Linked DNA regions of Ovis aries. The protein of the gene in region 3 binds, or shares a complex with, the protein of the main gene of each other region. Links are inferred from orthologs where the notes say so. Each region holds a gene or a part of one and is shown on either strand. Other genes may lie near its edges. The genes, in order: MED24, MED20 and MED16.

Region 1 (3,644 bases), on a different chromosome or scaffold from region 3:
CCTCAGAGCCCAGGAGCGCCCCAGGTGAGGAATGGCCTCTGGAGCCCAAGGAACCTTCTTGAGCTGGGATTCGCCAGGCTGAGGGTTGGGGAGCCAGCCAGCCAGACCTAGCTCAGTCTCATCAGGCCTGTCTCTGGCAGTCTGAGGATGCCTGCTCCCACAGCCCACCCCCAGCACTCCCGTACCTTAATCAGGTTGTTGCAGAACCAGTAGACACCACCCATGTGCAGCAGGGTGTCGAAGATGTGGATGGAGCGGCTGTCCACCCATCCCTTCTCCAGCACCTTAGCAAATATGTCCGTCAGCACCTCCTTGATGGGCCGCTTGGGGGGCAGCAGGTTCCAGTAGGGCATGGTGTCCATGCCCGTGGAGGGAAACTTAATCTGCGTGGCGGTCTGCTGCAGCACGTCCGCACACATGTGCTCCAGGATGGAGCTCATGATCACCACCCTGGGGGGGGGCGGGGGAGGGCCAGTGGTACAGGTTCAACAGAGGGGGTGGGAGTCGGGGCGGAAACACCCAGGCCCCACTCCTCCCAGGATTAGGGTTACGGAACCAGGAACCGGGAAATCAGCCTCATTCTGTGCTGAGGGAGGGAGGGGACAAGAGGAAGTTGCAAACCCTGAGCAGATGTGACCCCACCAGCCCTGTGCCAGCACCGAGCCTACAGGGGGTTGGTGGGCACTTGCCTCTCGGGTCATTTCAGCAATATATTCATACTTTTTTTTCCTCTCTCAGTCTCTCCCTCCAACTTCCCCACCCTCCAAGCCCGGGCCTGCCAATCCTCTGGCGTCAATATTGATAAATACAATCACTTCCCTCTAGGCTGTGCTCGAGGGGGGTTCCCCACCCGGCCTTGGCTTCCTCCCAAAGTAAACTGTTACTTCCAGGACAGGGGCCCAAGGGCTGCCCCACAAGACTCTTCCCGGCCCTTGGTAGCTGGGCAAATGTAAGTACATCCAGGAATTTCCTCATGACAGGAGTCTCTGATGGTGAATGCAGGTCTGGGCCTGAGAGCTAACCGTTCAGGGAACACTGCATGGCTCTGGGAAAGTCACCACGACTTTCATAGCCACTTTTCCCACCTGCAGGATGGAGCCATAGATTTCCCAGACAGCAGTTAGGGTGCTCACAATCAATTATATCAAAGAAAATAGTCCCTGATTTGTGGGAGGAGGATGAGGAAGGAGGGGAGGAACAGAGAAGGAGGCAGGGGAAAAAGACCCTCCCGATCTCATATCAGCTGTGTTTCCATTTTTTCCCTTAAAAGACATTTTGATGGCTACCTTGCGGGTCATCACTCATAACTTAATGTTTGGTGCAAGCCCACATTCATAGCAACACTAGTCACAACAGCCAAGAAGTGCAAGAAACCCATGTGTCCATCAGCTGAGGAACAGATAAGCAAAATACAACATATACATACAATGGAATATAATCCAGCCTTTAAAAAGCAAGAAGTCCTGACACATGCAACGGTGTGGTTGAACTCTGAGGAACATTACACAAAGTGAGACATGCCCGCCACCAAAAGATGAACGTGATATGATTTCACTTATATAGTAAATTCACAGAAACAGAAGCTAGGGTGGCGGTTGCCAGGTGCTTGGGGAAGGACAGAAAGGGGTGGTGTTTAATGGGTCCAGGGGCTGGGGTAAAGACAGGAAGGGGTGTTGTTGGTCCAGGTTCAGAGCTACAAGATGGAAACATTCTAGAGATGTTTCACAACAATGTGAATATACTTAACACACTACTGAACCCTACCGCTGGACCTGGTGGTACAGTGGAGAATCCACGCACCAGTATAGGGGACACAGGTTCGATCCCTGGGCTGGGGAGATTCCACATGTCTCAGAGTAAAAAAGCCTGTGTGCCACAGCTACTGAAGCCTCCAGACTCTAGGGCCTGAGAGTCACAACTGCTGAGCCCAAGCGCCCTATACAGCCCACACGCCACAACGAGCGGCCACCACGATCGGCCACCACGATGAGAAGCCCGTGTACTGCAATGAAGAGTAGTCCCAGCTCACCACAACTAGAGAAAGCCCACGTGCAGCAACAAAGGCTCAGCAGAGTCAGAAAAAAATAAAAATGAGCTGTTATCTTAAAAATGGTTAAGGTGGTAAATTTTAGATCATGTATTTTTTTACCACAATGTTTTAAAAAAGCTTACTGGATGGGTAAACAAACCCACACCCCCTGACTCAACATAGCTGAAGTTGCTAAGGAGGTCTTCCAAGTCTCTGAAAAGTCCAGGGAAGAAAAAGTCACAGAAGAGGGGGTGGGGGCAGGGTAGGGAGGGGGTGGACAGGCCCACAGCCTGTAAACACTATAGAGGGGCTCTACAGCTCCTAGAGAGGGACAGAGCTGAGATAAGACTGTTCCCACCAGCAAGCACCTGGGACTCAAGCTCTCCGAGGGCAGGAATCCTGGCCGTTTGGGGTCTGGAGTTTGGCACACACACAGCAGATGCTGGATTATAAACACGGCCGGCAAGAAGACACATACAAGCACTGCTGAGTCAGTGAGTGAAGATGTGATTGAGAATGTGAGTGAGCAGGCAAGTGGCATGTCTGGGGAGGTATGAGAAGAGGGGTAACTTCCCTGGTGGTGCAGTGGTTAAGAACCCACCTGCCAGTACAGGGGACACGGGTTTGACCCCTAGTGTGGGAAGATTCCACGTGTCTTGAGCGACCAAGTCCGTGTGTGCCGCCACACAAGAAGCCACCGCAGTGAGAAACCCACACGCCACAACCAGAGAGTGGCGCCTGCCCGCCGCCGCTAGAGAAAGCCTGCGCACCGCAGTGAAGACCCCATTTATTCATTGTACGCTACATAAATAAATGACTGATTTTTCCAAAGAGGGAGAGAGAGGAGGAGGAAGAGTGGTTACTGGAGGGGCTGACTTCTCACCACAGACCTGCAGAGTTCAAGAAGGGACCGACCTCTCGTTGTAGAACTGCAGCGTGTTCTCGCTGTACAGCGGCCCTGCCAGCTGGCGGATCATCTGCAGCGACTTCTCTCGCTCGTCCAGTCCCAGCATCCGCACGTGCGCCACGAGCCAGGCCACAGCGCACACTGCCAGGCTGCACACCTTCCCCTTGATATTATCTGTGATTTTCTGGGCGAGGGAAAAAGAGTGACTGGGGCCTCTCGCGCCCTCCCTGGCCATCACTTTCCCCGGCCTCCGTGAGCAACTCAGCAGAGCAGTGGGGTCTGGGGCCACGTCCAAGCCTCTTTTCACCACAAGTCTGATTTCCCCAAAGTCACCTGGTGAGAGAGGGTAGCTTAGACTATGACTACAGGGGAGGCCAATGCCCACACACGGGCTTCTGGAGGAAGGGTCGTTTTGTTTTTATGAAATGTAGCAAACTATCAAAGACTGGCTGTGCCTTAGGGAAGAGGGAAGGCTGCGGAAAAGAGGAGCTACCTGGATGGACTCGAAGGCTAGCACCCCATTCTCCCAGGCGTTGAGGATTTCCAGGATGGCCGCTGAAATGTTGAGACAGGCTTCGTGCCACTTCATCTGCCTACATGGGGATGGGGGTGGGAGAAAACATCACCACAGGGGTGGGCGGGCGTGGGCGGGGCTGAGGGAGAGGGCCCAAGCCTGCCCCCACCACCACCCCGGGGGCAGGCGCCCAG
Region 2 (3,644 bases), on a different chromosome or scaffold from region 3:
GGTCTTCTCTGGAAAAGGCTGTTGGTGAGGGCCTTGCCTCCGCCGCCCTCCAGGACTGCTGGGGCGATGCTGGATTGCCTCCTGGCCCCATTCAGCACTTTGGCCTCTACTCTGGGATGTGCTGAGGAAGGTCTTGTCGCTGAGCAGGATCTCCGTCCCTTGCAGGTCAGGCCGGGAAGCTGATGTATGTGATGCACAATTCTGAGTACCCTTTGAGCTGCTTCGCCCTCTTTGAGAACGGCCCTTGCCTTGTTGCCGACACCAACTTTGACGTGCTCATGGTGAAACTCAAGGGCTTTTTCCAGAGTGCCAAGGCCAGCAAGATCGAGACCCGGGGCACCCGTTACCAGTACTGTGACTTCCTAGTGAAGGTGGGCACGGTCACAATGGGGCCTAGTGCCCGAGGCATCTCTGTGGAGGTAAGACCTAGGTGAACTAGAGCAGATGTGGTGAAGGGCGTGGCTCTGCAGGTTCCCGCAGGCAGATGTGTCTGCCTCCCTGATTTCTGTCTGCAGAGCAGCTACACCTCCTTGCCCTGCATTTTTTATCCTTTCTTTAATCACTGAGGGACGCTCTAGCCCAGAATGGGAATGGGGAGCTGGATTCGCAGCAGGTAGAAAGCTTAGGAAGGCTGGCTTAGGAAGAAGAGGAGGGATGGTCAAGGAGGGGCAGGTGAACTGTTACACGGAGGGACCAATCAAAGTTTTGAAGCAAAGATGTGCCCTTCCCTTTGACATGCTGTCCACTTTCTTTCGTGGTATGTGTGACGATTTCATCTATGACGTATATTGAAAATGACAAAGATGGAGTGTGACAGTAGCTGGCTTTGGGACCACTGAGAGTCTGTACAATCTAACACAGTCCCAGCACTGTGTGAGATTAAAAAAAAAAGAATAAGTAAACTGCAGGGCCTTCCTTTTGAACGTTTATGACTTAATAAGAGAGCCAGGCCTAAACATGCAAGCTGTTTTTGAAGTTAGTCTGTAAGAAATGCCATAAAGGAAGCACAGATTGCTCTGGGAGTTCGGGGCAGAGAGCACCGCTGACTTTGGGGACTGTGATACCTCTTGCAGGATTAGCATTTAAGGAGGGAATTGAAATGTGGAGACCTGGGGATAGGTAAGTCCTCAAAAGCAGGACAGGTGGAGAAAAGGGCGTTAGTGGTCATGACTACTGTGACACTCCAGAGACCTCTAGAGCTAAGATGTCCTGACTCTTTTCATTCATAACACACAGAGAATTTGCCAAGACCCACGGGGAACTCACTGTTTGTTTATCCTCCACGTTTTCAACTTTGCAACACAAACACACCTGGCAGTTTCTTTACTTATTTCTCCTTGTACTTGCCAGTAATTTGCCCTGCCATCTCTCCAGTGAAAAACTAGGAGAGGAGAATGAGCAAGCGTAAGATCTGTATCCTTCAGCCCCTGTCACATGAGTTGGGAAATCATTTCTTAAGGTCAGAGCCCAGGTTATATCTACCTTGGGAATAATGGTTGCTCTTGAAGTGACTTACGGGCCTGAATGTCTTTTTGCCCTCTTGTCAATTCCCCCAACTTATACACCCCGCAGACTTTTTCTCCTGCTCTTCATTTTTTCTCATAGAATTTTCCCAAGCTGTCCATGAATCTACACGCATCATAGCTGGGACTATAAAATTCAGAAATAATTTGAAGGGACCAAGCTGTGCCTCTGGGTCTTGTGCACAGGCCTGTGAGTTGATAATCTCAAGATGAGAATGTTTGAGCTTAAACGGTACAGTGCTGAGGGTTTCAAATTCCTGGTGTTTGAGCTGGATATTTCCTGCGGGGCAACTCTGGGTTGGAAGGTTTGTGTCCTGGTCTCCGGGTTGGGGAAGATGGATGCAGAGGGCAAATGACCTGTCCTTGCTCTCACTCACCCTCCATCTCCCTTCTCTTGGTCCCCAGGTGGAGTATGGCCCCTGTGTGGTAGCTAGCGACTGCTGGAGCTTGTTGTTGGAGTTCCTGCAGAGCTTTCTAGGCAGCCACACCCCAGGGGCACCCGCAGTGTTTGGGAACAGACATGACGCTGTCTACAGCCCAGCAGACACCATGGTCCAGTACATGGAACTCTTCAACAAGATCCGCAAGCAGCAGCAGGTGCCGGTGGCGGGGATTCGTTAGCAACTGGCAGCTGCTGGGCTGAACTGTGTCACCGGCCGAGGGAGTCGGGGGGGCACTCCACAGAAGGAGCAGGCACCGCACCCTCAGGCCTCTGGACCCCGGAAATCCTGGGCAGACAGGAGGGTGTCCCTCCCTGTCTAGTTCCCAGCTGTGGCTTTTGTTCTGGGGTGCTGGACTCCCCTCCACTGAGCTTCACACACAGTCCCTCCTGTGCCTGCCCCGCCACAGTTGTTTCAGCCCCCGCCTTGCTGGGCTTGGCCTGTCCTCAGGAAAGTGATTACCCAGAGCAGAGACGTCTGGAGCTCTCCTGCTTTAGGGGAAAAGGTCAGATGGGGGTGTCCTTGCTGAGTGTCGGTGGAAAGGCAGTCTGTGTTACCAGTTCCTGAGGATTTGGTCCAGCCACACAGTGGACAGGCTATGTGTTGCATTGGGGCTTCACTCAGAGGATGTGGCTGGGCCTTTCCTGGGAAAGAAGCAGGAGGCCAAGCTTATTTGGTGGCTGTCGTTTTCTGACCTGTTTGCTGAGGTAAATCGTGAGATCAGTTTTCTAGGGTGTTGCCTGAGTCCTTTGAAGTCTCCCCTCTGGCCATCTTTCCATTCGGTAGTGAATGATATTAAAGCACAGGCTGAGTGGCTATAAGAAGAAGCTAAAGTACAGAGGCTCATAGTTTATTTTTCTCTTCTCTAATAGTACAGAGGTAATCAGATAGCCCAGGGCAGGCTTAACTCCACAAGGTTGTCAGGAACTTGGTTTCCTTTGAGCTTGTTGTCCAGCCACCCCTGGGGTGTTGTCCTTGGGCAACTCAGAGCATCATCAACTACATGTCCAGTTCCCCTGGGGTAAGAGAGAGAGAACAGTTTTCTTTTCTAAAGGCCATGCCCTGGAGTTGCTCCAGTCACTCTGGCTACACCTGCCTGAGAGGAGCTCTGGGATAGAGAGCCTCTTATTTGGGTGGTCATGTGCCCAGTTAAAATGCCAGGGGTTCTGTGACCAAAAGGTGAAGGAGAAAATGGATGTGGGGGCCTAGTTAATAGCCTCTGCCCCAGGGAGCTCAATGGACCTGCCCAAGACTATTCTTGCTATTTTGCAAAGAGCACCCCTGTAAGCTATTTGTTTCTGAGTTGGATTGGGATGGGGCTGATATCAGAGCCACTTTAGCTGGATTATTCACATGGGGACGTCACTTCTGCACCCCTTGAGTCAGTCTCTGCATCAAGACCTCTCCAGTTCTCGAGTGCCCAGAGCTCGGGGTTAAACAGTTGACCTGAGGCCCACACTGCGCTTCAGGGTGTCCTGAACTCTTAACTCCTCATCTCATGGGAGCCTCCAAGCTGCTCATTTGACCTCCATCGCCTGCCCCTGCCCTCCTGCTTCAGAGATGCTCAGTCCAGCTAACCCTGAGGTCACAGTCAGAGCTGGTCTTAAGAAGCAAGTTCATGTATGTACTGTGGGTTGTCCTAGGATCTGTCTCTCATCGAAAACCCAGGAAGAAGAACCCT
Region 3 (3,644 bases):
AGCGAGGGGAGCTTGGTCGGGGCCATGCCTGGGTGAGGCCTATGGCAGCAGCAAGAGCTCACGTGGCTTGGTCAGCTCCACTCCCAAGCCAGGAGGGCCTCCTGGAATGATGCTGTGGGAAATGACCTTTCTTTCTATCCCTTCCCTGTGTCTGCCTCCTGTCCCTTCTCCCCTAGGGAGTGACTCATTGCAAGGCTTACTGCCTAACCATCTGGACCGTTTTTTCTGTGGGAGGTTTCTTTTTCAGACTTTCAGCATCTCCCCTTGGGGCTCACTTAGGGGCTTTTGCTTCTTTCTTTTAACACTGCTTTCACCTACACGTCCAGGAAACTCAGCTGGGGCTGTAGTCAGCCCTGCCCTTCATGGATATTTAGTCCCATGAGCCTGGGGGTGCCTGGGTGAGCCTAGTGAGTCTGCTCCTCATCCCCAGACAGAGGGGCAAAGAGTCTCCCACTACTCAGAGGAACTCTGTGCAGTCTCCAGCTCATGCTGTTTCAGTGACAGATGCTTTGTGCTGATGGAAAGGAGTCAGGCTTGCAGGCCTCCCTAGGGTCTGCCTCCGGGGATGCTGGGAAAGGCAAAGCTGGGGCAGAGGCCAGTGCGGCAGTGGCTGGGGGCCCAGGGGCAAAAAGATGAAAGAGCAGTGGCAGCTGTGCTTCCCAGCACTGCCTGCAGGGGGCATATCTGAGTCCTACAGCCACTTACCTAGTGCCCAGCTTGCTCTGTGCAGTGGCTCAGGCCGTGCTCCCACACTACCCACGCAAGGAGCCTGGAGTGGCTGAACTGAGCACCTGAGAACACTGGATGTCTGTCTGGCCCTAAAGAAAACACGGCTGACTGCTGTCCCTTGTGTGTCTAGCTGTGACCTTATCATGTTCTTGGACATACAGACAAGGACACTGAGGGTCAGAGAGGCCTGTGTCACCCAGCGCTCAGTGGCTGAAGCCGAATCTGACTTCAGGCTTGGTCTCTTGAGGCTTCTGCTATCTGGTTCCTCTGTGTTCCTGAGGGTGCGGTTCCCAGGAGGGGTCCTCGGGCCACGAAGGTAGACCCCTAAAGGCCGAACATGAACTGGGCGCCCCCCCACCCCCTGCAGCTGACCCCTCCCCTCCCTTACAGTCTGGTGCCTCCAGCTTCGGGGAAAAGTTCTCCCGAGTCAAGTTCTCACCATCGCTCACACTGTTCGGGGGCAAGCCCATGGAGGGCTGGATCGCTGTCACAGTCAGCGGCCTGGTCACTGTGTCCCTGCTCAAGCCCAGCGGGCAGGTGCTCACCTCGACTGAGAGCCTGTGCCGGCTGCGCGGCCGTGTGGCTCTGGCCGACATCGCCTTCACAGGTGGCGGCAACATCGTGGTGGCCACAGCAGATGGCAGCAGCGCATCACCGGTGCAGCTGTACAAGGTGTGCGTGAGCGTGGTCAATGAGAAGTGCCGCATCGACACCGAGCTCCTGCCCTCACTCTTCATGCGCTGCACCACCGACCTCAGCCGCCGCGACCGGCTGCCTGCCATCACCCACCTCAAGTTCTTGGCCCGCGACATGTCGGAGCAAGTGAGCCCGCCCCACCACCTCGAGGCTAAACCCACGCCTGGGCGGGGTTGCTCCCTCCAGGGGCTCCTGCCTTTTCCAGCTTCTAGAGGCACCAGCATCTCTGGCTCGTGGCCCCTCCCTCCATCTTCACAGCCAACAGTGCAAATCTCCTGTCTCTCTGCCTCTGACCCTCCACCTCCCTCTTATAAGGACCCTGTGATGACACTGGGCCCCCTGGGGAATCCAGGGTCATCCCTATCTCAGGGGCCTTAGCTTAATCCCTCCTGCCAAGTCCCCTCTGCTCCATAAGGTGATGTATCCACAGGTCCCAGGACCAGGACAGGGGAGTCTCTGGAGGCAAAGTTGAGCTACCTGCACCAGGTTCCCTGAGGTCCCTTGTAGCCTTGTGCTGACCAGCCCTAGCTTCACCAGTCCCTGATGTGTTTCCCTAGTACCTTTGCTTCCTGCTGGGGCACCATGGATGACCACCCCAGCACAGCACAGCACTCCCCATGGGAGTGAGGCCAGTGGGTGGGCAGATGCAGACGCAGGCCAGGCAGGCCTGGGTTGTACCCACAGTGGCATGTGAGCCCTAAGACGAGCCAGAACCCCACAGAGGCCATGGGCTATTCTAGGCCCCTCACCACGCACTCACCCCTAGGTACTGCTGTGTGCATCCAGCCAGACGAGCAGTGTGGTGGAGTGTTGGTCGCTGCGCAAGGAGGGGCTTCCTGTGAACAATATCTTCCAGCAGCTCTCTCCGGCTGGTGAGTCGCTCAGGTGGCCAGGCACACTCAGACTACCCTGGGTGCAGCGAGGCGGCGTGGTGGCAGCCTGAGTTTGCTAGAACATGCCCACCTCTCCCTCCCTCTCTGACCTTGAACCCATGCGGAGCCCCATGTCTCCGCCAGAGGGGCCCGCTTGCTGATACCCGTGTGGCTAAGATGCCAGGGGTGAACTGTGGCCACACAGCCCAGGGGCATTCCCCCTGCAGTAGTGCTCCTGGCCCTGGAGTGACTGGCCTGAGTTAAGAGGCCCCTGAGGTCCATCTGCCCTCAGGTGGGTTACATACGCTGCTCAACACAGCCCCAGAGGAGTTGTGTGAGGGTGGTCGGGCTGCACCTCCTGAGTGGGGTCCTGGCCCTTCCCAGTCCCAGGCTGGCCCAGCTCCCCACCTGCCCTACAGTCCCAAGGTCCCTGGGACCTTGTTATAGTAGGACCAGACTTCATGCAGAAGGGCCTCCCGTCCTGGTGGAGCCTCTTCCCAAGGCAGGCATCCAGGTGCTGAAGGGTCTCTGCTGAGTTCACCTGCGGCCCCCCACCCCTGCCCCTTGTCCCAGCCTCGTGGCCCTGTGGGCTCTCAGACCTGCCTCTCCTGCCCCTTCCTCCTCACGTTTGCCCACACTGGTCTCCCTCGGGCCCCACTCTACCAGCTATTGTCCAGCCTACAGTAGAGGGGGTGGCCTGACTTGGGTGGACAGTGGGTCCAGGTAGACTCAGGCAAGCTGTTCAGCCTCTGACAGCGGCCACTCTCCTATGTGACCTAGAAACGGCCAAGCCTGTCAGGAAGCCAGTGTGGGTGGCTGGTGCCGGCCTGGCCTGAACGTGCTCCCTCTCTGGGTATCGCCTTGGCTGTCACCATGGCAGCTCTGCTCAGTGCTGCCTCTCTCTGGGCCTCCGTCTCCTTGTGGGATGATGTTTTCCAGGAGACCCCTCTTGCTGAGACGTCTGGGGAAGAGCTCTCAGGACAGGTGGGCGCAGAGGCGTGTTATCACAGCCAGCCTCAAACTCTGTTTCAGAAACACAGCTGGACACTCCTGGGTTGGACCACCTCACTGCTCCAGCCTGCTTCCCTAAGTCTGCCGGCCCCCCAAGGCAGCTGGAGTGCTGGCAGCTGGAGTGCTGGCCACTGGCTGGGGGCCTGGGCTTGTCTCGGAGTCACCTTGGTGTCTGGGCACCTCTGCCCATAGCACGCGGGGACCAAGCCCAGATGGATGGGAACCACCCTGCCTCTTGCTGGTGGGCTCCGTTGTGGCACTGAGGTTGTGGGTGCCAGGAGGGGCCTGTCTGTCCACCTCCTGAGGGAGCTGGACAGATCCTGGGGTCCACCCAGG

The links.
Region 1: the proteins of MED16 (region 3) and MED24 are in contact, whole or in part, in a cryo-EM structure (PDB 7EMF), measured with the Homo sapiens proteins. The link is inferred for Ovis aries from reciprocal best matches to the Homo sapiens genes MED16 and MED24. Residues at the interface, in NP_005472.2 of Homo sapiens: His29, Cys30, Pro31, Ser32, Arg52, Asp54, Asp55, Gln56, Glu82, Asp102, Val126, Glu127, Gly128, Asp129, Pro130, Val184, Ser185, Leu187, Thr203, Glu204, Ser205, Cys207, Arg208, Leu209, Arg210, Gly211, Arg212, Asp232, Gly233, Ser234; in NP_055630.2 of Homo sapiens: Ile539, Leu540, Asn541, His544, Pro545, Glu593, Arg629, Met630, Leu631, Gly632, Leu633, Asp634, Glu635, Asp676, Gln679, Gln680, Thr681, Ala682, Pro702, Pro703, Lys704, Arg705, Pro706, Ile707, Lys708, Glu709, His737, Met738, Gly739, Gly740.
Region 2: MED16 (region 3) and MED20 share a complex: the UniProt entries of both Homo sapiens proteins name them as parts of the mediator complex. The link is inferred for Ovis aries from reciprocal best matches to the Homo sapiens genes MED16 and MED20.

Annotation. Positions count from the first base shown.
Region 1 is NC_056064.1:40,087,885-40,091,528, forward strand, and holds part of MED24 (mediator of RNA polymerase II transcription subunit 24), read right to left. Parts: intron 3,530-3,644; coding exon 3,430-3,529; intron 3,121-3,429; coding exon 2,945-3,120; intron 451-2,944; coding exon 186-450; intron 1-185. UniProt on the Homo sapiens protein: Component of the Mediator complex, a coactivator involved in the regulated transcription of nearly all RNA polymerase II-dependent genes.
Region 2 is NC_056073.1:15,712,310-15,715,953, reverse strand, and holds part of MED20 (mediator of RNA polymerase II transcription subunit 20), read left to right. Parts: intron 1-165; coding exon 166-419; intron 420-1,928; coding exon 1,929-2,144; 3' UTR 2,145-3,644. UniProt on the Homo sapiens protein: Component of the Mediator complex, a coactivator involved in the regulated transcription of nearly all RNA polymerase II-dependent genes.
Region 3 is NC_056058.1:41,105,846-41,109,489, reverse strand, and holds part of MED16 (mediator of RNA polymerase II transcription subunit 16), read left to right. Parts: intron 1-1,119; coding exon 1,120-1,551; intron 1,552-2,191; coding exon 2,192-2,297; intron 2,298-3,644. UniProt on the Homo sapiens protein: Component of the Mediator complex, a coactivator involved in the regulated transcription of nearly all RNA polymerase II-dependent genes.